Callithrix jacchus: one gene and its partners. The protein of the gene in region 1 interacts with the protein of each later gene in a pairwise test. Links are inferred from orthologs where the notes say so. Each region holds a gene or a part of one and is shown in the gene's direction. Other genes may lie near its edges.

What was found.
Region 2: the proteins of TRIM54 (region 1) and OTUB2 interact in binary tests that used the Homo sapiens proteins (3 or more experiments, as listed by UniProt). The two-hybrid records come from large-scale screens. The link is inferred for Callithrix jacchus from reciprocal best matches to the Homo sapiens genes TRIM54 and OTUB2.
Region 3: the proteins of TRIM54 (region 1) and SH2D1B interact in binary tests that used the Homo sapiens proteins (3 or more experiments, as listed by UniProt). The two-hybrid records come from large-scale screens. The link is inferred for Callithrix jacchus from reciprocal best matches to the Homo sapiens genes TRIM54 and SH2D1B.
Region 4: the proteins of TRIM54 (region 1) and AIRIM interact in binary tests that used the Homo sapiens proteins (3 or more experiments, as listed by UniProt). The two-hybrid records come from large-scale screens. The link is inferred for Callithrix jacchus from reciprocal best matches to the Homo sapiens genes TRIM54 and AIRIM.

What each region holds. Positions count from the first base shown.
Region 1 is NC_133515.1:87,713,879-87,718,196, reverse strand, and holds the end of TRIM54 (tripartite motif-containing protein 54), read left to right. Parts: intron 1-1,252; coding exon 1,253-1,348; intron 1,349-1,889; coding exon 1,890-2,123; intron 2,124-2,384; coding exon 2,385-2,407; intron 2,408-2,519; coding exon 2,520-2,644; intron 2,645-2,763; coding exon 2,764-2,855; 3' UTR 2,856-2,856; intron 2,857-3,143; 3' UTR 3,144-3,277; downstream 3,278-4,318. Other genes in the region: UCN (urocortin), read right to left, coding at 3,788-4,147. UniProt on the Homo sapiens protein: May bind and stabilize microtubules during myotubes formation.
Region 2 is NC_133509.1:128,846,809-128,852,404, forward strand, and holds the start of OTUB2 (ubiquitin thioesterase OTUB2), read left to right. Parts: upstream 1-2,222; 5' UTR 2,223-2,422; coding exon 2,423-2,425; intron 2,426-5,596. UniProt on the Homo sapiens protein: Hydrolase that can remove conjugated ubiquitin from proteins in vitro and may therefore play an important regulatory role at the level of protein turnover by preventing degradation.
Region 3 is NC_133519.1:39,150,174-39,155,605, forward strand, and holds the start of SH2D1B (SH2 domain-containing protein 1B), read left to right. Parts: upstream 1-2,058; 5' UTR 2,059-2,178; coding exon 2,179-2,312; intron 2,313-5,432. UniProt on the Homo sapiens protein: Cytoplasmic adapter regulating receptors of the signaling lymphocytic activation molecule (SLAM) family such as CD84, SLAMF1, LY9 and CD244. In SLAM signaling seems to cooperate with SH2D1A/SAP.
Region 4 is NC_133508.1:74,245,801-74,251,213, reverse strand, and holds the start of AIRIM (AFG2-interacting ribosome maturation factor), read left to right. Parts: upstream 1-2,039; 5' UTR 2,040-2,295; intron 2,296-2,711; exon of another isoform or gene 2,712-2,842; intron 2,843-3,755; exon of another isoform or gene 3,756-3,861; 5' UTR 3,862-3,966; exon of another isoform or gene 3,967-4,083; intron 4,084-4,388; 5' UTR 4,389-4,661; intron 4,662-4,779; exon of another isoform or gene 4,780-4,784; 5' UTR 4,785-4,787; coding exon 4,788-5,062; intron 5,063-5,413. Other genes in the region: CDCA8 (borealin), read right to left, coding at 1,255-1,383, 1,509-1,602. UniProt on the Homo sapiens protein: Part of the 55LCC heterohexameric ATPase complex which is chromatin-associated and promotes replisome proteostasis to maintain replication fork progression and genome stability.

The sequences.
Region 1 (4,318 bases):
AGACCGCAGTGGGAGGATCACCTGAGACCGGGAGTTTGAGGCTGCAGTGAGCTGAGATCAAGCCACTGCACTCCAGCCTGGGTGACAGCGTGAGACCCTGTTTCAAAAAATATATATAAATAAATAAAATAAATCATTCAACAGATGGCTGGGCATGGTGCCTGGAACCTGTAAAACCCAGTGACTAGGGAGGCTGAGGCAGGAGGATACGGCCAGGAGTTCAAGACCAGCCTGGGCAATATAGTGAGACCACCATCTCTATAAAGTTTATTGTTTTAATTAGTTGGGAGTGGTGGCATGTGCCTGTAGTCTCACCTACTCAGGAGGCTAAGTTGAGAGGATCACCTGAGGGCAGAAGTTTGAGGATGCAGTGAACAACAATCATACCATTGCCCTCCAGCCTGAGTGACAGAGTGAGACTGTCTCTTAAAAAAAAATCAGGCCAGGCGCGGTGGCTCATGCCTGTAATTCCAGCACTTTGGGAAGCCAAGGGGAGCAGATCACCTGAGGTCAGGAGTTCAAGAACAGCCTGACCAACATGGAGAAACCCCATCTCTACTAAAAATACAAAATTAGCCAGGCATGGTGGCACATGCCTGTAATCCCAGCTACTTGGGAGGCTGAGGCAGTAGAATCGCTTGAACCCAGGAGGCAGAGTTTGCAGTGAACCGAGATCACACCATTGCACTCCAGCCTGGGCAACAAGAGCAAACTCCGTCTCAAAAAAAAAAAAAAAAGAAACAGATGAATTAAATGACCGCTTTGTCTGAAAACAGAACTAGTGAACAGCATGAGGGGACTGAAAAAAAAAACAAAACAAAACAGAATGTGTATCTCTGGGAGAGGAGAGGGTTGAGCGTGAGAATCAGATTTCCAGAATGAGAAGATAAAGAGAACAGAGAAGAGGCAATATTATGCAAATGGATAATCATCAAGAATTTCTTGCATCAGAATTGATGCAAGAAACGAATCTTCAGATAAAGCATCTAGCCCTGTGCCTGGCATCTGGTGGATGGAGACTGTCTGTTCCTTCCCACTTAGTGGTGGAGGGCTTCTTCTCTCCACCTCCTTCTAGAATCCCTAGAATGTGCTTCTGTACCTCCTGATAGTTCAAGTCTTCTAGAGGGCTGTAGATGCCCTCATGGTGGGTGGGGTGAAGGGGACAGCCCTCTTCTAGGCAACCCTGGCTGGGGTGAGGGGTGTAGCTCTAGACCAGGTCCCAGTTCTAAGTGCTGACCTGTTTGTGTGTCAGAGTGAGCTCAGCGATGGCATTGCGATGCTGGTGGCAGGCAATGACCGGGTGCAAGCAGTGATCACACAGATGGAGGAAGTGTGCCAGACCATCGAGGTGAGCCTGGGCTAGAGGGAGGGGGGAACAGCAACTGGCGGGTCTGCGGACCCCGGGCTTCCTTCCAGAAGAATTGCTGTGGCCAAACTGGTCTGAAAGTTTCTGGGGTCCTGAAAGTGGTGGGATGGGCTTTAGCCAGGCTGCTGGGTATGCATTCCAGCTTTGCCTCGAAACTTTAATCCAGTTATTTAACTTCTCTGTGCTTTGGTTTTGTTTAACCTCATAAAACAGTGATGATGATAATGGTACACCAGCTACCTCATGGGTTCTTTTTAAGAATTAAATGGAATAACGCAAGTAAAAACCAGGGCTAGGGATATAGACAGCACTCATTGAAGCTACTTTAAAACATTGTGTTTTTATTATAGAAGAGATCTGGGCTGGATTCTGGCTCAGCCACTAGCAGTGGCACTGTGGACGGGTCACTTTCTGTCTTGGTTCTCTGAGCTCCATCAAGTGGGGAGCAGGCCCAGTACCCTGGGATTTCCCAGCCACCGGGTCTCAGCCACGCCTTCCCTGGTCCTTGCTCCCCATCTTTCAGGACAATAGCCGGAGGCAGAAGCAGTTGTTAAACCAGAAGTTCGAGAGCCTGTGTGCAGTGTTGGAGGAGCGCAAGGGCGAGCTGCTGCAGGCACTGGCCCGGGAGCAAGAGGAGAAGCTGCAGCGTGTTCGTGGCCTCATCCGTCAGTACGGAGATCACCTGGAGGCCTCCTCTAAGCTGGTGGAGTCTGCCATACAGTCCATGGAAGAGCCACAGATGGCGCTCTACCTCCAGGTGGGCTCTAGGGGAGGGTGGCAGTGCTGCAGAGTGGCTGGAGTCGGGGCCTTGGCACCTGGACATCCAGGTTCAAGTCTTGTCTCTTGGACCTGCCTTGCCCCTACCACCTTGGGCAATTCACCCCCTCTGAGTTCATTTTCTCCTTAATGAAATGGGATGTACCTTCCCACCTACCCTGCAGGACTGTGGTGAGAAAGAAATGGGACTTAGCCCAGGTTGGCCCAGTGCTTACTCTCACCCTCCTTTTCTCCCCTGCAGCAGGCCAAGGAGCTGATCAATAAGTGAGTAGGCACAGCGGGAAGGGAAAGGAGGGGGCTGCGCTGCTCCACTGGCTGGGGGAGGGGCTTGAGGGTGCTGGGGCATTGCCAGTTGAGCCCAGTGTGGTTGCTGCAGGGTCGGGGCTATGTCGAAGGTGGAACTGGCAGGGCGGCCAGAGCCAGGCTATGAGAGCATGGAGCCATTCACCGTGAGCGTAGAGCACGTGGCCGAAATGCTGCGGACCATCGACTTCCAGCCGGGTGAGGGAGATGGCCAAGGGCCACCGGGACTGGGGTTCCGACCCTCCATGTGGGGGCAAGGCGGGCAAAATGGCAGGAAAGGCAGGGACTCCACCTCACCAGGCCTTCCTTGGGCCCAGGCACTTCCGGAGAGGAAGAAGATGAGGAAGTGGCCCTGGACGGAGACGAGGGCACTGCGGGGCCGGAGGAAGGGCGGCCGGATGGGCCTTAAGGTGAGTGTCCTGAGGGACTTGAAATGGGGCCTGGCTGGTGCACTCATGTCCCCTCCCCCGGTTACTGTCCCCCAATCCTCGGTACCACCCTACCCCGGAGCCACAAAGGTGCATCCCCCAGGGCGGAAAAGCACACTTCCTCCACCCCCACCGTACCTCCGGGTTACTGGGAGGGCAAGCAGAGTTGGCTGAGTAGAGGAGAAACCCACGTGGCGGGCGACCGAGTGAGCTGGGCTCGAGCTGCCTCGCGCCTTCTCAGCACCTGCTCACTAAGCCTTCTTTCCCAGGCACAGGTCTGCGCCGACCCGACTCTGGTCAAGAGCCTGCGCTAGGGTCGGGGAGGATCTGCGCAGAGACCGCAGAGTAGCCCAGCTCGGCGCCCGCCCCGGGAGGATCTTAATAAAGAACTCGAGCTCCCAGACCCGTATCTCCTTTCGCTGCCCAATCCCTCAGCTTCGGCTTTGGAGGCGACCCGCCACCATTCTGCCCTTCCTGGAACCTGAGACCGTTTGGGCGGGTGGAAGCCAAATGAACCCTTTTTGGGCACCTCCGTGATGCCAGGAGAGAACTGGTGAGCCCAGCACCCTTGGAAGAGGGTTGAGGGCAAGGCGGTGGTGCCGGGACCTGAGGTCCTGGGGATTTGGGGAGCCCTGGGGTCCACAGGCACCTGGCTGACCTGGCTGAAAGCCGCTCTCCCGGAGCCCCCCTCCCCCGCGCATCCTGTTCCCTTCCAGCTGGCTAGGGGGCCCCACCTTCCCACAGGTTCCCACCCTGCTGTGACTGCCGCCCCCCCAACAACAGAAGCCAACAGCTCTTCAGCACTTTTATTAAAAAATAGCCACGCAGAGAATGCTCTGGTGGCTCTGCCCCGCGTCCCAACCCTGAGGTGGGGGAAAGGGGTCAAAGTTTTCGCGGCCCCAAACCAGGCCCATCACTTGCCCACCGAGTCGAATATGATGCGGTTCTGCTCGGCGCGCTCCCGCTGGCTTTGCGTCCGCGCCAGCTCCAGCAGGGTCCGCAGCAGGTGAAAGGTGAGGTCAATGGACAGAGGAGGGTTGTCACGCCGCAGCCGATCCCCTGTCATCCCGAGCCCCGCGCGGCGCGGGAAGCGCTCCGCTAGCAGCAAGAGGAGCGCGCGGGCTCCGCCGCCCTGCTTCCGCGCCTCGGGGCTCCAGCGCAGACTCGGGTCCTGGACCCCAGCCACCTCGGGGCTCTTCTGGCTGCTCCCAGGGCGCAGATGTACTAGGAGCAGCAGCGCAGCCAGCAGCGCCGCGCGTCCCGCCTGCCTCATGGTGCCGCCGGCCCTGGACACACAGGGGCAGCGCAGGGTGAGATGCGCCTGGGGCAGCCGCAGGGGGCCGCTCCCCACCCCGCACTGGCCAGGCAGGTGCTGGGGGCGGCTCCCCTCCCCGCGCTCGCCCGGTGACCCCCGGCGGTTCCGCCGGAACAATGCCCGCAGGCG
Region 2 (5,596 bases), on another chromosome or scaffold:
CACGGAACCCTTCTGCAACATTTTTTTCTCTTCTAACCAGGCTTCAGAGAGCTTAAGAAGAATCCTGATTAGTTAGACTAAAATTACATTTTCCCTGCTAATTGAGCTAAATTTGAGGAAATATTCTATTATACATACACTGAGATGCTTGTAAGATTGTATGTGTGTGTGTGTGTGTGTGTGTGTGTGTGTCTGTGTGTGTGTTTAAAGCCTTCATTACTAAAAATATTTTTTTAAACATTTTTAACCACCTAGATTGTCTAATCCTCTCACTGAGTGAGGAACCCGAAGACTGGAGAGGGCCCGGGCATTGCCTGGGGCCACAAAGCAGTGAGTGGCAGAGCCCAGAGCCAGGGGCCCAGAATCTCTCAGGGAATCCAGCCCCGTGCTCCTTCCACACTTCAGTGCTGGCTTGGTTTGGAACTGCTGGGACCTGAGGAAGGGCGGAGAGCGGGCCCAGGGCTCAGGGCTTAGTGTAGCCCAACTTGAGGGCTCATTGAAGCCTTGGCCAGAAACTCTTCACTCATACCTGCACCCAGACACCATGGAACGTGGCTCAGCCAGTCCTCCACAGAGGGAAGCCTAACATCCTCTGGAATGAGTAGTGGTCGGGGAGTCAGGAATCTGGGGATCCAGCCCAGCCAGGCCACTTCTTAGCTCAGCAACACTGGGCTGCCCCTGTCACCTTTCTGGCTTCCTTGGCTGAAAAAAAAAAAAGCAAAAAAAAAGCAGAAACCCTCCGAAAGCAAACGGAGGTCAAGGGCAGGGGTGGGTAACACAGCCCCTGTTGTCTCCTGCAGAGTGAATTCAAAACCAGCTCTGGAGTCACACTGCACTGCCTGGGACTGAATCCCACTTGAGTGCTGTGTGGACTTAGGCAAGGAACTTAACTCTCTGTACCTGTTTCCTCATCGTACAATAGGGATAATATTAACAATCCCTACCCCCATAAACTAGTTGTGAGGAAATTAAGTAAGATAATTCTGGCCCGGGCGCGGCGGCTCACGCCTGTAATCCCAGCACTTTGGGAGGCCGAGGTGGGCAGATCACGAGGTCAAGAGATTGAGACCATCTTGGCCAACATGGTGAAACCCTGTCTCTACTAAAAATACAAAAATTAGCTGGGCGTGGTGGCATGCGCCTGTAGTCCCAGCTACTTGAAAGGCTGAGGCAGGAGAATCCCAGGAACCTGGGAGGCGGAGGTTGCAGTGAGCTGAGATCGCTGCCACTGCACTCCAGCCTGGCGGCAGAGCAGAGACTCCATCTAAATAATAATAATAATAATTCTGTGGAGAGTTCAGTTCTCCAGTTCTGTGGAGATAGCGCCTGATATATAGTAAGTTTTCTGCATAACGGTATAAACAACTGTAAAAAGTTAGCTGTTATTGTTACTGCGCCTGGATCCTCCATTAACTCCACACTCCCTACCCAGGACATGATACATGGTTTCAGATGTCTGTTTGCCTAGAGCCTAGCCCGGTGCCTGGGGCTTACCGAGTAAAGTGGGGCAGTGGTGGTGGTGGGGCAGCAGTAGGAAGGGGAATTGCTCAATACACCCTCCTGGAAATATTAATATTCTAAAGTGGATGCATGCAGTGCATTGAGTCCACCTCCCCTACAAACTCTCCCTCCCACACCCAAAGCAGCTCCTCCGGGACTCAAGGGCTGGTGAATGAATCTTTGAATGATAAATATTCCTATTTTGATGTCCAGTAATAATGAGCTTGTACGCAAGGTGAGTCATCTAGACCTGGTTCATGGATATCCCTACCACAGAGTCGACGATCCGGGACATTTATTCATTCAACAAACATTAATTGGGTGCGTGGCAACCTACTGATTCATGAGTTGGAAGGCGGTAAAATATTATATAGAAGCCACACTTAATGTTATTGGACACGTGTTCCCATAGCGACTATCCTCTGATCTTGTGCAAACTATACTTATGTGACCTTGTTTATGAATTAATGAGGGCCAGCTAATCCTTCCAAAGACTCCAATTTTCGGTTTCCTCAAAAGCCCTTCAGCCTTTACAAACAAGGACCTGTCTTTCTGGGTTGAGCTAACTCCTCGGCTAGTTAAAAGCTTTCTGTGTCTTTAAAAGGGGGAGGCATCCTGTCAAATGGACTCTAAAGCATAGGCTGAAAGAGCGTGAAGTCCCACCCACTTTCTGTGACGTCGTGCGACCCGGCTCCTGATTGCTCTCCTGCGACGTCAATCGCGGGGCGTGTGTCTTGCTGGGACACAGTGGAGGTCTAACCTTTGGTTTGCGGAGCGGTCGGGTGTATTCTCCGCTGCCCCCACGCCCTCGAGGTCTCCGCCACCCGACCCAGCGGCGGAGCCCGCCCGCGCCAGCAGCAGCACCTCCCGCACCGGATCGCTTCTCGCTGGAGCCGGACCTAGCCCGGCGGCTCCAGTCACTATGGTCAGTGATCTTGGGGAATCGCGAAGGGGGAGCGGACAGGGGGCGCAGTGGGCGGGGTCGCCGCCATGGCAGGAGCACCCGCGGGACAGGGTTTGGGAGCGAGTTTCAGACCCCCACCCGCCCCCGCCGCCTTCCGACCCCCTGAAAAACAAAGTCTGGACGGATGCTGGGGGCCAGGTTGCGCCCCCCTGTCCCCCGTGGACGCGCAGCTGAGGAGGTCCAGCTTGGTCCCGAGTCCCCGCCCCCAGCGTGTCCGCCCCAGGTGGCCCGGGGCGCCGCCCCGACGGCGCTGGGTGGGAACCCTCGACGGGAGCGGGGACAGGGAGGCTGCAGCGCTACGGGTCGCCTCGTCTTAGTTAAGTAGCCCCCCAGTCAGCAGCCCACGGCCCCACCCACCCGAGGGCTCGGCCCCTGCCCCAACCCCACGAGAGGATCTAGGAGTTGCAAGGGGGACCAAGTTGCTTGTCCTGGTGGGCAGCTGGACGGTCTCCATCTTTGGAGTCAGGACCCACGTGGAGAGGCTGCCTCAAGTTGTGAGATGCATGAGTTACTGGTAGGGGAAAAGCAAACACTCGGGAATCCCTGATGGAGAGCCCTGTCTGCGCAGAACGGGGCCAGAGACCCTCTGAGCCAGGCTAACCCTGGTCTTGGGCAGGTGGGGAAACTGAGGCCAGGCAGGGAAGGGCTGGTACTGATTGTGGTGGACCCGGGACTTGAACCCAGACCTCTGGACTCTCAGTTCAGTGCTCTTTGAGTTACATCAGTTCACCTTCCAGGTTGCTGTGGGGTCAGGCATCTTATAGGGGACTGGGTGGGATGGTTGCCTAAGACCCTTCAACCCTGAGCAGGCCCCCCTCTACAGGGAGCCTGTGGAGTGAGGGCTGGGTGGCTTGAGTTGGGTCCACATAGCCCGGGGTTCAAGTCTCGGTTCCACCTCTTGGAAAACAAGGAGGCTTTGGTCGGTCTGCTCTCTCCCTCAGCACGGTTTTACACATCTGTGTGATGGGCTGCTGGGGGACCTTGTGAGATGATTAGCCGGGGCTTTTCCTGTGGCAACAGAGTCCCGGAAATGGGTGTGCATAGATCCCTGGTTCTTCAAGCTTGGCCTCCTCTCACCTATGCCTGGGCAGGAAAATGGGTCATCTCAGCAGGATGCTGCCAGACGGGGGCATGGGTCAAAGCCTGGTCATGGCCTGGCACGATCTGGGTGTGGCTTAGGCAGCCAGTGCACTCAAGCTGGGGATGTCCTGGCCAAGCCAGCCTACTGCTGGGGCATGGCTGGGGGCCTCTGGGGCATCTGGAAGCACCAGCTTCCTGCTTCTACCTGCTGCCCAAGGGTTTACCTGGTAGTGCTGCTTCTGGAAGGCAGCCCAGATGTTTCTGCATCACTCACCAGGGAGTGGTTGGGCTGGGGTAATGATCGGCTTAGCCACCTGGAGCTGGAGACTGGCATGCCCTCTGGCCACCACTCAGCAGCTGAGAGCACAGCAGAGGCCATAGCTGCTCTCTGTGCCATGCAGTGAGGCTGCTCACTCTGCCCCCATCTGCCCTGACTTGGGAGACCGGAAGTTAGAGGGAAGATGGGGTCCAAAGCCCTCAGCCCTCACTCGAGGCTTGGGTGCCTTGGAGATGGATATAGTGGTTAATCCACTAAAATAGGACGTCTGTCTGGGAATCACGGGGGTGGAAGCCATGCAGGGTCTGTTTCCTTCCCTTCACATGGCATTTATTGAGCCACCTAGGGCATATGGTGGCTCTGTGCTTCATGGTGGGTTTTTATGTTGAGCCTGCATGGTGTGGATGGTGGTGAGTGAGTGTGTGTCTGTGTGTGTGTGTGTGTGTGTGGTGGACAGAAGAAATATCCTTGGAAAATACAGCATATCCTTTGCTTTCCTGTTTCTACATCACTGGGCTAAGCTTGAGGAAGGGCCCCCATGGAAGACACAAAGCCTCTTGGAAGGCAGGGGTGAGACAAGGACCAGGCCTCTGGCAGAGACTGCAAATAGCACAGGGTCTCGTGCACTCAAGGTGCATTTCATGTTTGGTGAATGAATGAGTCAGACATAAGCAGGAAAACCACAGAATCCTATTGGGCTTTGTTCTGTCATTTGTCAAACAGGCCTCCAGTGGGCACCTTTGTCAGGCCTGTGCTGGGCACTGTGACAGATGAGAGAGACAAGGTGCCTGCCCGCTCTGGGAGCTCACTGCCTGCTGGCCAAGACAGCTGGACACAAGCAGTGTCTGAGCTATAGGTCATGCCTAAGAGACCTAAGGACTTTGGAACACAGTGAGAAGTCAGTATGCTCTGAGGGAGTAGGGGTGTCAGAAGGTTTTGCAGAGGAGGTCTTTGGAGCTGGGTTGAAGGATGTACACGAGTGTTCAAGAGGATTTGGGAAGGGTACATTCCTACTGGGGGTGCGGCGTGAAGGGACAGTGGGCTATCAGGCCTTGAAGGATGGTCAAGAATGGGGGATTTTGGCAAGGGTAAACAGCCTCTGAAGATGCAAGGAGATTAAGGGAGGCAGGGAAATTGAGTCTAGAAAATTTGGTGGGGTCAGGATGGTCTGTGCAGAGCCTCACTGCTGTGCTGTGGGGTTTGGGTTTTATTCCACCAATGAGGGGGAAACCATAACATATTTTTGACAAGTAGGAGGTGGCTGACTTGGATGCTCTCTCTGACAGTGAAGTGGACACAGGGTTGAAGGGAGCCAGGCTGGAGCCAGAGCCCAGCTAATCCCATGCATGCATCCGCCCATTCATTCACACAGTGTGAGCTTCCTGGGCTGCCTTAAAGTACCACAAACTGCAGTGTAGAGCAACAGAAATGGATTCTTACGGTGCCAGAGGCTGGAAGCTCAAGACCAAGATGGCAGCAGGGCCACGCTCCCTCTGAAGGTGCTAGGAAGGTTCTGTTCCAGGCCCCGCTCCAACCTCCTTGGCTTGTGGCTGCCGAACTCTTACCTTCATGTGGCGTGCTTCCTGTGTATGGGTCTGTGTCCCAGGTTTCTCTTTCTGTAAGGACACCAGTCAGATTGGATGGGGGCCACCCTACTCCAGAATGACCTCATCTCAGCTCATTACAGCTGCAATGACCCTATTTCCAAATAAAACCACATTCTGAGGTACCGAGGATTAGGAATTCTGCATAAGAATTTGTGGAAGGGGGACACA
Region 3 (5,432 bases), on another chromosome or scaffold:
CCCATCTCTACTAAAAACATAAAAATTAGTTGGGCATTGTGGCACATGCCTGTCGTCCCAGCTACCTGGGAGGCTGAGGTGGGAGAATCGCTTGAACTGAGGAGGCTGAGGTTGCAGTGAGCTGAGATCACACCACTGCACTCCAGACTGAGTAACAGAGCGAGACTTTGTCTCAACAAACAAAAAAACAAAAACCTATAGAGCAAGTTTTACTTAGAGAAGTCTCACCTCTATATATGGTTTCTCCATTTGCTTAGAGGCAGAAGTTTTTTGTTTTTTTTAATCAGTTTCAGTTTTGTTCTTCCAGTGGGTTTTGTTTTTCGTTTGTTTTCTATATATGAACAATATATAAATGTATATATTTACTTATATCCCTCATACTCTATATACTACTGTGCACCTTGCTGCTTTCACCTAAAAATACATCATGAAGATTATTACATATCAGCATATAGAGATCTTCCTCATCTCATCATTCTATAGTGATATTCCATTATTTACATGAATCCCAGCTTATTCACTTATCCCTCTACTCACAAGTCTTTCAGTTGTTTGTCATCTTTTTCGATTAAAAATACTACCTTATTCACAAGTTATTTTCTAATCCTGCCTGTAGTTTTGTGATAGATTTCTAGACTGAGATTGTTCTATTAGATCGTGAAGGCATACACAAATGTGCAAGGCATTGTCAAACTCTCTTTTACTATAGTTGTAACTATTTTGTATCCTAACCAAGATACAAGATGTTCTATTTTCTTTCACCATCACCAATCCAGTAAGTTTTCACATTTTTGATTTTTTTCACCAATATGATAGGTGAGAGATGTTCTCTCAGCATGGATTTAATTTATATTTCTTTTACTCTGAGGATTGAATTTTGAAACAGGAAAAAGGTCCAGCAAGCCCCTGTGATAACCAAGAGCCTGAGCATACTTTCAGTTATTTTCTCTTTTATGTCAAAAACATCTTCACACGATGATTGTGAATGTATTCCCAATAATTACCGAATTTCTTCTTTCATCATTAATAACTCTGTCTTCAACTGCCATAGTTCCCAGGGAAATATAATAATGAATTGTCCAAAACCACAGAAGAAAAGTTGGTATTTGAGAGCAGCTCTCTCTGATAACAAGTTCCTTGATCCGTGAAACTACGCTATGCCAAACAGCAAAGAGTGGGAATTCCAAGGAAGAACAAAGACCGTTACAAGGAAGTTTCCTGAAAGATACACCCCAAGTGTGAGTAAACAGCTGGTAAGCAAAGTAGCAATGTGAAATACACATCTGGGTTAAGAAGAAGTTAAGATTCCAGGTATCTACAGAGATGAAGAAAAAGAAAAAGAAGAAGTGAAATAAAGATACGTCACGAACTCATCTTTTCTATTTTAGTTTCATTTTCATGGATTCATTTTTGAGATATATAGTGATTTCCTGTGGATATTTGAGTATACCAGTTAACCCTCCCACCTGCACCAGCCCTTTCTCCAAAAGGTACAATGCTTGAGGGTGTTAAAAATGGCGCTTTTTTTTGCCAGTTGCTAGGAGCCTTAGTCATGGAATGGGCTGTCCTCATCCACAGTGTCCCACTGTTTTCTATTCCCATTAATATCTTCCATTTTTGGTGTCATTTGATCCATGGAAATGCCACCGTTTCAATTTTCCCACTGTATCTGAGCATATCAATTCTCTCAGCATCCCAATGCTTTTTGAGCACCCAGTCTACGCTAAGCATAGCCCAATCCTATGCAACTTCAGCAGAGAATGGGTACCATTACTGCAAAAGCGATGCTGTGCTTCCTGCACAGGATGCCAGTAGCCAGAGAAGGTGATGATAGTACATGGTAATATACAGGCTGCAACGCAGTTCCAGAGAGCTTGACTTCAGCGTTGTCTCCCTAGCGATGAGCTTCACTGATTCCACTGTGTATTTAAATGTGCTTTACCCCTTTCTGTGAGTCACATGTGGGCCACATAGAGGATAAAATGTGTTGGTCATTTTATCACCCCGCCCTTCTCATTTCCTGAATCTCATGAAGCTGGTTGAGTCTCACAGATCACTAGAGACAGAGCTATTTCCACAGGAGGCACAACTGCTTCCACATCCCTCCTCAGAGCTGTCCCTTGGCTTGGGGGTGAATTTCAGGCCAACAGGGCTGCCTGGGATACAAGAGCGTTCTCCATGGATCTTCCTTACTACCACGGCCCTCTGACCAAGCGAGACTGTGAAACCTTGCTGCTCAAGGAAGGGGTGGATGGCAACTTTCTGTTAAGAGACAGCGAGTCGATACCAGGAGTCCTGTGCCTCTGTGTCTCGTGAGTAGCCTCATCTTGCACACATGTGACATCGTACATTGAATGCGGCAAAGGCACAGTAAAGGAATACATATCCCTCAGTGTTTCACTCTGATGTTGCAGTCAAAATGCATAAAGTGAGAAATAATGAGCAGTGCCAGGAGAGGCATGTGTCTGTCCGTGCTCCCCCATCTGCCTTGCTCTCCCTGGTGTAAAGGCCTGCAAGCAGACTCTGCAGCAGCAGGAGGGATATGGTGGTGGTGAAGGGAAGGGCTGAAGAAGAGGGGTACGGGGGGATGGAGAGAAGGTACTGTTCTCCAGAGATCTGTTTATTTGGTATGGAAAAGGCTAGGGGTTTTAAAAGAAATTTCAATCTGAAAGACTACTTATTCTGCAGTATCCACTTGCAATACTTAAACTATAAATCCTAATAATATTTCACATTTTGTTAGATTTGTAAAGGACTTCAATATTCGTCATTTTCTTTCATTCTTGTAGTCTATCAAGGTAAGCATAAGCAGTCACCATTTCATAGGTAAAGAAACAGAGACCTTGGTTTCTCAAATAATTTGTGTTAAAACTAATTTGGAATTTCCAGAGTCTAAGTTAAATATGAAATTCCAGGCTGGGTGTCATGGCTCATGCCTGTAGTCCCTGCACTTTGGGAGGCTGAGGCAGGGGGATCACTTGAGGTCAGGAGTTCGAGACTAGCCTGGCCAACACGGTGAAACCCCATCTCTACCAAAAATACAAAAATTAACTTGGTGTGGTGGCGTGTGCCTGTAATACTGGCTACTTGAGAGGCCAAGGCAGGAGAATCTCTTGAACCCAGGAGACAGAGGCTGCAGTGAGCCAAGATTGCACCACTGCACTCTGGCCTGGGCAACAGAGTAAGACCCTGCCTCAAAAAAAGAAAAAAGAAATTCCAGGCTACAATATCAAAGAGACCCAGTGGAAGGAACTTGCTTATGCCCAGTTTAGAAAGCAATCCTAAACAGAAATCTGAACAGATATCACTAGAAACCTCCTATCTTGATGTATTTTCCTCTTTGTAAAGTAGGGGCCACTGAACCTGTTATTATACCTGTAACAGAAAGTGAAACCCCGGTGTCTCTTGTTAAAGAAAAAAATTACTCTATGTCATTTGTTAAATCATGGTTGGGAAGACTTTACTCAGGATCATCACAATAGGTATAGGGACCACTGCAAGGAGCTCTTAGTGCAGAGGAAAGATTGGACTCAACTCTGAGTACAGCACGGACAAGTGGGAATTTATGGCCAAGGAGTAGTGTGGGATCAGTGGCTAGAAAATTACTCAGAGGAAACATCAGGGGTAAAGGGGATTCTGGCTAAGCCAGCCTAACAGAATTGTAGCTGAAGACAGACCAGGGTGATCAGTTGTTGCCTGGGGGATGGTGGAGGAGGAGGAATCTCATCAGAACCTGACAGTGATCAGATAGCTAGGGCGAGGTGTCCTTGCCAAACTGACTTAGTAGGGTTCTTTGCTAAAACTGGATTTTACAAGGAAGTACACAAATGGGCCATGGAGTAGGCTCAGAAGTCTGATTACAGACAAAAGTGATTGTCCTTACTAATAGAATACATTGGGACACACTTCTTTCTGTAAATGATACTGGAGAGACAGGCTATCTCTCTTATACCTACATCCACAGTACCATTTAAAGAAAAATATATGTTGGCTAGGAGCGGTGGCTAACGCCTATAATCCTAGCACTTTGGGAGGCTGAGGTGGGCAGATCACTGAGGTCAGGAGCTCAAGACCAGCCTGGCCAACATAATAAAACCTTCATCTCTACTAAAAATACAAAGATTAGCTGGGCATGGTGGGGGTATCTGTATCACAGCTACTCAGGAGGCTGAGGCACGAGAATCGCTTGAACCTGGGAGGCAGAGGATGCAGTGAGCTGAGATGGCACCACTGCTATCCAGCCTGGGAGACAGAGAGACTTTCCGTCTCAAAATAAAATAAATAAGCAAATAAATAAAGAGTGGGTAAGATCTGGTTACATAGAAATGGGATGGAAGGTGCTTTAGGAAGGGGAGGAGGTAGGAACAGTGGTCTAGAAGTTGGATACTTTAAAGTATGTACATACAGGGTTCCTAAAATGTCATTTGGAAACCAGCTTTTGGAGAAGGAGGATGGGATAAGATCAGGTAGTTTTAAAAGAGTGGTTCTAAAGCTAATGGGGAAACATGGATGGTTTTTGAGCGGAGAAGTGACAAGACTAGTGAATTTAGAAACTTAAATCTGACATGAAGAACACAGTGAAGCTGGAAAATGATGGCAATAGAAACTGTTGTGCCTCTGGATGGGAGATGGTGAAGAGCTAGCTGTGATGGTGCAAGCAGCGAAAAGGGAAAAAAGAAGGTGCAAGGACAGACTGGCCAGGATCTCAGGGTATACGGTCAATATTGGGATTCTCCCTCCTTCCCTCCCTCCCTCCCTCCCTCCCTCCCTCCCTCCCTCCCTCCCTCCCTCCCTCCCTTCCTTCCTTCCTTCCTTTTTTTTTCTTTCTTTTGTTCTTTCTTTCTTTCTTTCATTCTTTCTTTCTTTCTCTCTTTTCTTTAGACAGGGTCTCACCCCAACTCCCAGGCTGGAGTGCATAATCATGGCTCACTGTAACCTTGACCTTCTGGGTTCAAGAGATTATCCTGTCTCAGCCCTTCTGAGTATCTGGGACTCCTGGTGCACACTACCGTGCCTGGCTAATTTTTAAATTTTTTGTAGACATGGGATCTTGCTATGTTGCCCAGGCTGATTTCAAGCTCCTGGGCCCAAGTGATCGCCCACCTCAGCCTCCCAAAGTGCTGGGGTTACAGGTATGAGCCACTGCACCCAGCCTATTGGGATTCTCTTTGAAAATTTATATTTATTCTCAACTGTTCTGTGGTGCATCAACCCAGCTTGCATATTCATCCAAAGCAAAGATCACTGAGAAATGCTAAGAAAAAATAATAAATCAAGTGGAAAGGCAAAAATAAATATTTGTTAAGCCCCTGCACATGATCAGGTCTCACCTGCATCCCTAGGCATGTCACGGAAAGGCAAGCAAAATTTCATTCACCCTCAGGCTTAAGGTTCAGGTCAAGTGACCCCTGTAGCTACCTCCTTCTAGAGCC
Region 4 (5,413 bases), on another chromosome or scaffold:
GAAACAGGCTGGGATTTTTCTCTGGCCAGGAAAACTGATGTGTCCATTTTTAAGGTAGCAATTTCCATAAGCTGCAGAAGAAGCTGCTTCGGGTTCTTCTGCAGCTTATGGAAATTGCTACCTTATTCTTCTTTCTGAGCTCTGGTTAACTAACCACATCATTTATTCATTTTTACATGGGTTGGGTAAAATATACATATATTTATATGGTTTTTGTTTTTATTTTTTTTGAGACAGAATCTTGCTCTGTCACCCAGGCTGGTGTGCAGTGGAGTGATTTCGGCTCACTGCAACCTCCGCCTCCTGGGTTCAAGCGATTCTCCTGTGTCAGCCTTCTGAGTAGCTGGGACTACAGCCACCTGCCACCATGCCCAGCTAATTTTTGTATTTTTTAGTAGAGACAGGGTTTCATCGTATTGGCTAGGCTGGTCCTGAACTCCTGACCTTGTGATCCGCCCACCTCAGCCTCCCAAAGTGCTGAGATTACAGGCGTGAGCCACACCCCCCACAACCCTGTGGCCAAAATTGGCATATATTTTTTAAAAATACTATTTCCTGGCCGGGCACAGTGGCTGACGCCTGTAATCCCACACTTTGGGAGGCAGAGGCAGGCTTGAGGTCGGGAGTTCAAGACCAGTCTGGTCAACATGGTGAAACCCCGTTTCTACTGAAAATACAAAAATCAGCCGAGTGTGGTGGCGAGCGCCAGTAATCCCAGCTACTCCACAGGCTGAGGCAGGAGAATCACTTGAACCCAGAAGGTGGAGGTTATACTTGAACCTGGGAGGTGGAAGTTGCAGTGAGCCAAGATCGCGCCACTGCACTGCACTCCAGCCTGGATGATAGACTGAGGCTCTGTCTAAAAAATAAATTAAAAAAAATACTATTTCCTGATGTGGAAAAATTATGTGAAATTCACATTTCAGTGTATCCGTAACTAAAATTTTATTGCAATACAGCCCATCCATGCCCATTCACTACAGCTGTTTTGGAACTGTATCACATATCACAGAGTTGAGTAGTCTGACAGAGACCCCCATCGACCCCCGCACCAGTGGACTAAAATATTTGCTAGCTAGACCTTTAGAGAAAAGCATGGAGAAAAATGAAGTAGGGAAGTGAGACAGAGAGTGAAGGGGAACAGTAGGTCTGCCATTTTCCATAAGTGCTCATGTCAGATCTCATTAAAAGGTGACATCCGAGCGAGCCCTTTCTGAAGGGTGTCACCTAACCCCAAGGGGCTGCAGCTCTTACCGAAGTAGTCGAGCCAGTTCATCTCGCGCAGCGCCTTGGGGAGTCGCAGGATCTCGATGTTGTACAGGTTATCCACCTCCTTGAGGAGGTTCTGCCTGTCTGACTCAATCTGCTTGATTCGTATTTCCACTGCGGGAGGGCAGAGCCGACGGGACACGGGTCACGGGGCGGGTGAATAGGTGCTGCTCGTGTCCCCACCCGCCAGCATCCCGCGACTGCCCCAGGAAGCCGCGACTGCCCGGCCCCTTCCTTACCTTCACGGTCGAAGTCTTTCAGAAAGGAGGCGAGCTTCCGCTTCCGTAAGGAGTTGGTTTTGGCCACCCGACTGCTGCCCTTCCTAGGAGCCATGGCGCTCGGCGGAGGCTGCGGGTAGCGGCAGAGATGGGGCAGGGAGGCAAGGAACCGGGTAGGCACGAGAAAGGCGGACAAATGCCACCCGAAGAAGTCGCCAGGCACGTACCTGCAGTCCCGAGACAAGGGCTGATCAAAACCTCCCGGTGCCTGTGAGAAAGCGGCTCTACCGCCAACCGCCACCCAATTCAAACTCCACGGCCACAGGCTGACGAATGAGAAGCCGCCGTCCCACAACATCCAATCACAAGCAAGTTCTTGCCGGCCCGGGGTCTCCAGCCCAATGCGCCCTCTACAGCCTGAGTACGTCAGCGCGGCCACCGCCGTCGCGAGTGCTCCTGGGAGTTGTGGTTCAAGATAGTTTCCCCGCCCTCTCCACGCCCACCCGGCTCCGCCCTGGCCAGCTGCAAACGATATTAACTACTATTCCCGGCAGGCCTTGCGACGGCACCTCGACACTGTAAGCTCTGGAGGGCTGAGGGCCGACCAGGACGACGGGGGCCCGCTTGGAAGCCGGGAATCCCAGCACTTTAGGAGGCTGCTTCTTTCTGGCCTGGTTGCAGCTGAGTAGCCGAGGGCCGCCGTGACCCACTGATTGACTGACTACTGACTGGCTGTCTGTCTACCTCTGCGCTCCTCAGGGCCCCAAGCACCCCAGGCCGAACTTCGGAAAAGTGGAGGGAACTTCGGGCAAGTGGAGGGTCGGCGGAGACACAGCAGCCCCACTCAGCAGTGTTTGGAAGGGGGCGGGGGGTGCAGGCTTTGGGGTGGGCGCGCCAGCCCGGCCAGTCTGGGCAGCGAGTGGGGGGAACCCTCTCGTTCCTCGGTCGCCCGCGGGCTGGACCCTCCTGCCCAGTTAACATCTCGGCGCCTCGACTGGGTGCGGAGTGCGGGGTCGCGACTTCAGGTGCAGTAGTGGCGCTTGGCAGCTGGCTGTCCGGTGACTGCAGTAGGAGCCGCGGCCGCTAGACTCCAGGGAGCCCAAGGCAGGAGGCAGCCCTGGGTGTCGAGGCCGTGGGCCTGGGAATGGACGTGTAGACGGCGAGCCCGGCCGAGCCGCGGTACAGTCGGAGGTGCTAACTGTGTATCTTGGCATCTGTCCACAGCCACAGGGTTGGATTGATCGGGGGTTGTGCTGAGGCCCAGCAAGGCTAGAGGCTAGTCTTGAAGTCTCCAGGGATCAGAGCGATAGCTCAGGCTGAGTCTCAAGGCGGGTGGCAGCCGGACAGCCAGACTGGTGAGCTCTTGATGGGTTTGTGGTATGATTGGATTTGGTGCTTTTCACCTGTGGATGCGGTCTGAAGCCATGTCAGAGGGGTTGTGTTTGTGTTTAAGTGTGCATTTTATAGACTGTAGGGGTGATAATCTTCCCTCTCCCCCTCTGAGTTCAGGAACAATCGAGGAAATAAGCAAAGGTGCCAAGCAGGCTCCTGATAGGCACCAGCGAGCTTGGAGACACAGCAGGTGGAACATAGGAGCCCTGGCAAGCCTGGCCCTTCCTCTTGCCAGGGAGAGTCCTTTCTCTCCCTTCCAGCCTGTCCTGTTGCTCCATATGCAACAAGTATTTGAATGTCACTCTTCCGCCCGAGGTCAGCCCTGGGCAGTGGGTGATGGGGGTGACACTCCAGTCTGCTGGGTGCCTGAGAATCTTCATCAGGCAGATGGCCAAGATGAGAGGGGATGACAACCGGTACCTCATGCAGGCTCCCCCCAGCAGGTGTTTTTATGCTGGGCAAGTCTGGCTTCCAGCCTCTTGGTTTCAGCGCTTCTCTCACTCCACTCCCCAATGCGCCCGACTTCCCTGGGCACCTAGGACATCACCCTGCATCTTAGCTAGAGCTGCCACGTCAGGAGCCCCTGATTCACTAGTTTTTGCCAGTTGGCTGTGCCACAAACATTGTGAAATGTGTCATTAAGACATAGCCGGAGGCGCAAGCTTAGAGGAAGTGACTCTTAGCTAATAGGATGTGGTAACACCGCCACTAATTTAAACTGCTGCAGGCTGACAAATGAGAAGTTGCCGTGTTGGGACGGCTGCAACATCCCAAGGAAACTTCAAGCCAAGTGGCCAATCCACATGTGGGACTACAGTACCCAGAAGTCATTGTGGCAACACGATATATTTTCGCGACGCAGTAGCCCTGCAGGCTAGAGGAGCTTTGGGAGATGTTCGTGTTTGAGCACATGCAGACAGACTACGGGTGCGTGTGCAGGTCTGGAGTGTTCTCACACTTTGGCTGTCTCTGCTGGTTTCAGGAAGGCAACCGGCAGCCTCGGGCAGGGGAGACTGGCCTCTGGGTTAGAGAATAGACGGCGCTTGGATGCTGGGAATCCTCTGAAGTAGGAGAGTGCCCTATCCAGGTAACCCTTCCCGAGGGAAAGCCAGGATCTCCTTCACAAAGCTGAGGCAGGGCCTGACGCGGTGGCTCAATCCTGTAATCCCAGCACTTTGGGAGGCCGAGGCGGGCGGTTCAGGAGTTCAAGACCAGTCTGGCCACCATGGCGAAATCTCGTCTCTACTAAAAATACAAAAATTAGCTGGGCATGGTGGCAGGCACCTGTATTTATTTATTTGTTTGTTTGTTTGTTTATTTATTTATTTTGAGATGGAGTTTCGCTCGTTACCCAGGCTGGAGTGCAATGGCGCGATCTCGGCTCACTGCAACCTCCGCCTCCTGGGTTCAGGCAATTCTCCTGCCTCAGCCTCCCAAGTAGCTAGGATTACAGGCACGTACCACCATGCCCAGCTAATTTTTTTTTTTTTTTTTTTTTTGTATCTTTAGTAGAGACAGGGTTTCACCATTTTGACCAGGATGGTCTTGATCGGTTGACCTCGTGATCCACCCGCCTCGGCCTCCCAAAGTGCTGGGATTACAGGCGTGAGCTACTGTGCCCGGCCGGCAGGCACCTGTAATCCCAGCTACTCTGAAGGCTGAGGCAGGAGAATCGCTTGAACTTGGAAGGTGGAGGTTGCAGTGAGCCGAGATCGTGCCACTGCACTCCAGCCTGGGAGATGGAGTGAGACTCCATCTAAAAAAAAGAAGCCACTTCTGGAGGTGAGACAACTCCTGTCCAAACACGAGCATGGAGATGACCGCCCACCCTCGACCCAGTGCCTCCCCGACTGACTTGGCATCCCTACATGGTTATTTTCTTTATGTTTTTATCTTTTTCAACAGAAGATGACTCAAGACCAGCCTCTGGTTGCCGTGCAGGAGGCCCTGAAGAAGTGCTTCCCCGTGGTGGAGGAGCAGCAGGGCCTGTGGCAGAGCGCCCTGCTAGACTGCCAGCCCCTCCTGGTCTCCCTTAGCAACCTGGCGGAGCAGCTGCAGGCCGCACGGAACCTGAGGTTTGAGGATATGCCGGCGCTTCGGACCTTCCCAGACTTAAAAGAGCGATTGAGGCGCAAGCAGCTGGCGGCTGGTGACATCGTCCTGGACAAGCTAGGGGAAAGGCTGTAAGCAGCTCCTTTCTTGGTGGAAGGATTTTAAAATGAGGTGTTTTATATGTAGCTAAGATCAGTCTAGAAGGTGCTTTTCTCCTTGAGAGCATGACATTTGGAGGTATCTCAACCTTCCTTACTTTCCATCTGGGGCAGCGAGACCTCTATCAGAAAGCCATTTTCTGGTATTTTCCTTGTCAGAGACTAGGCATGGTAGTGGTGGGCTTAGTAGAAGTCACAAAAGAACAGAAAAGGAGCAGAGAAAGTGTATTAGCTCTCCCCTATACTTTTCTTTGGTAAAAGGCAGTGAGGAGCTGTATAAACTTAGTAGGTGCCAGAGCTAAGGGTTTTACATATATTACATCA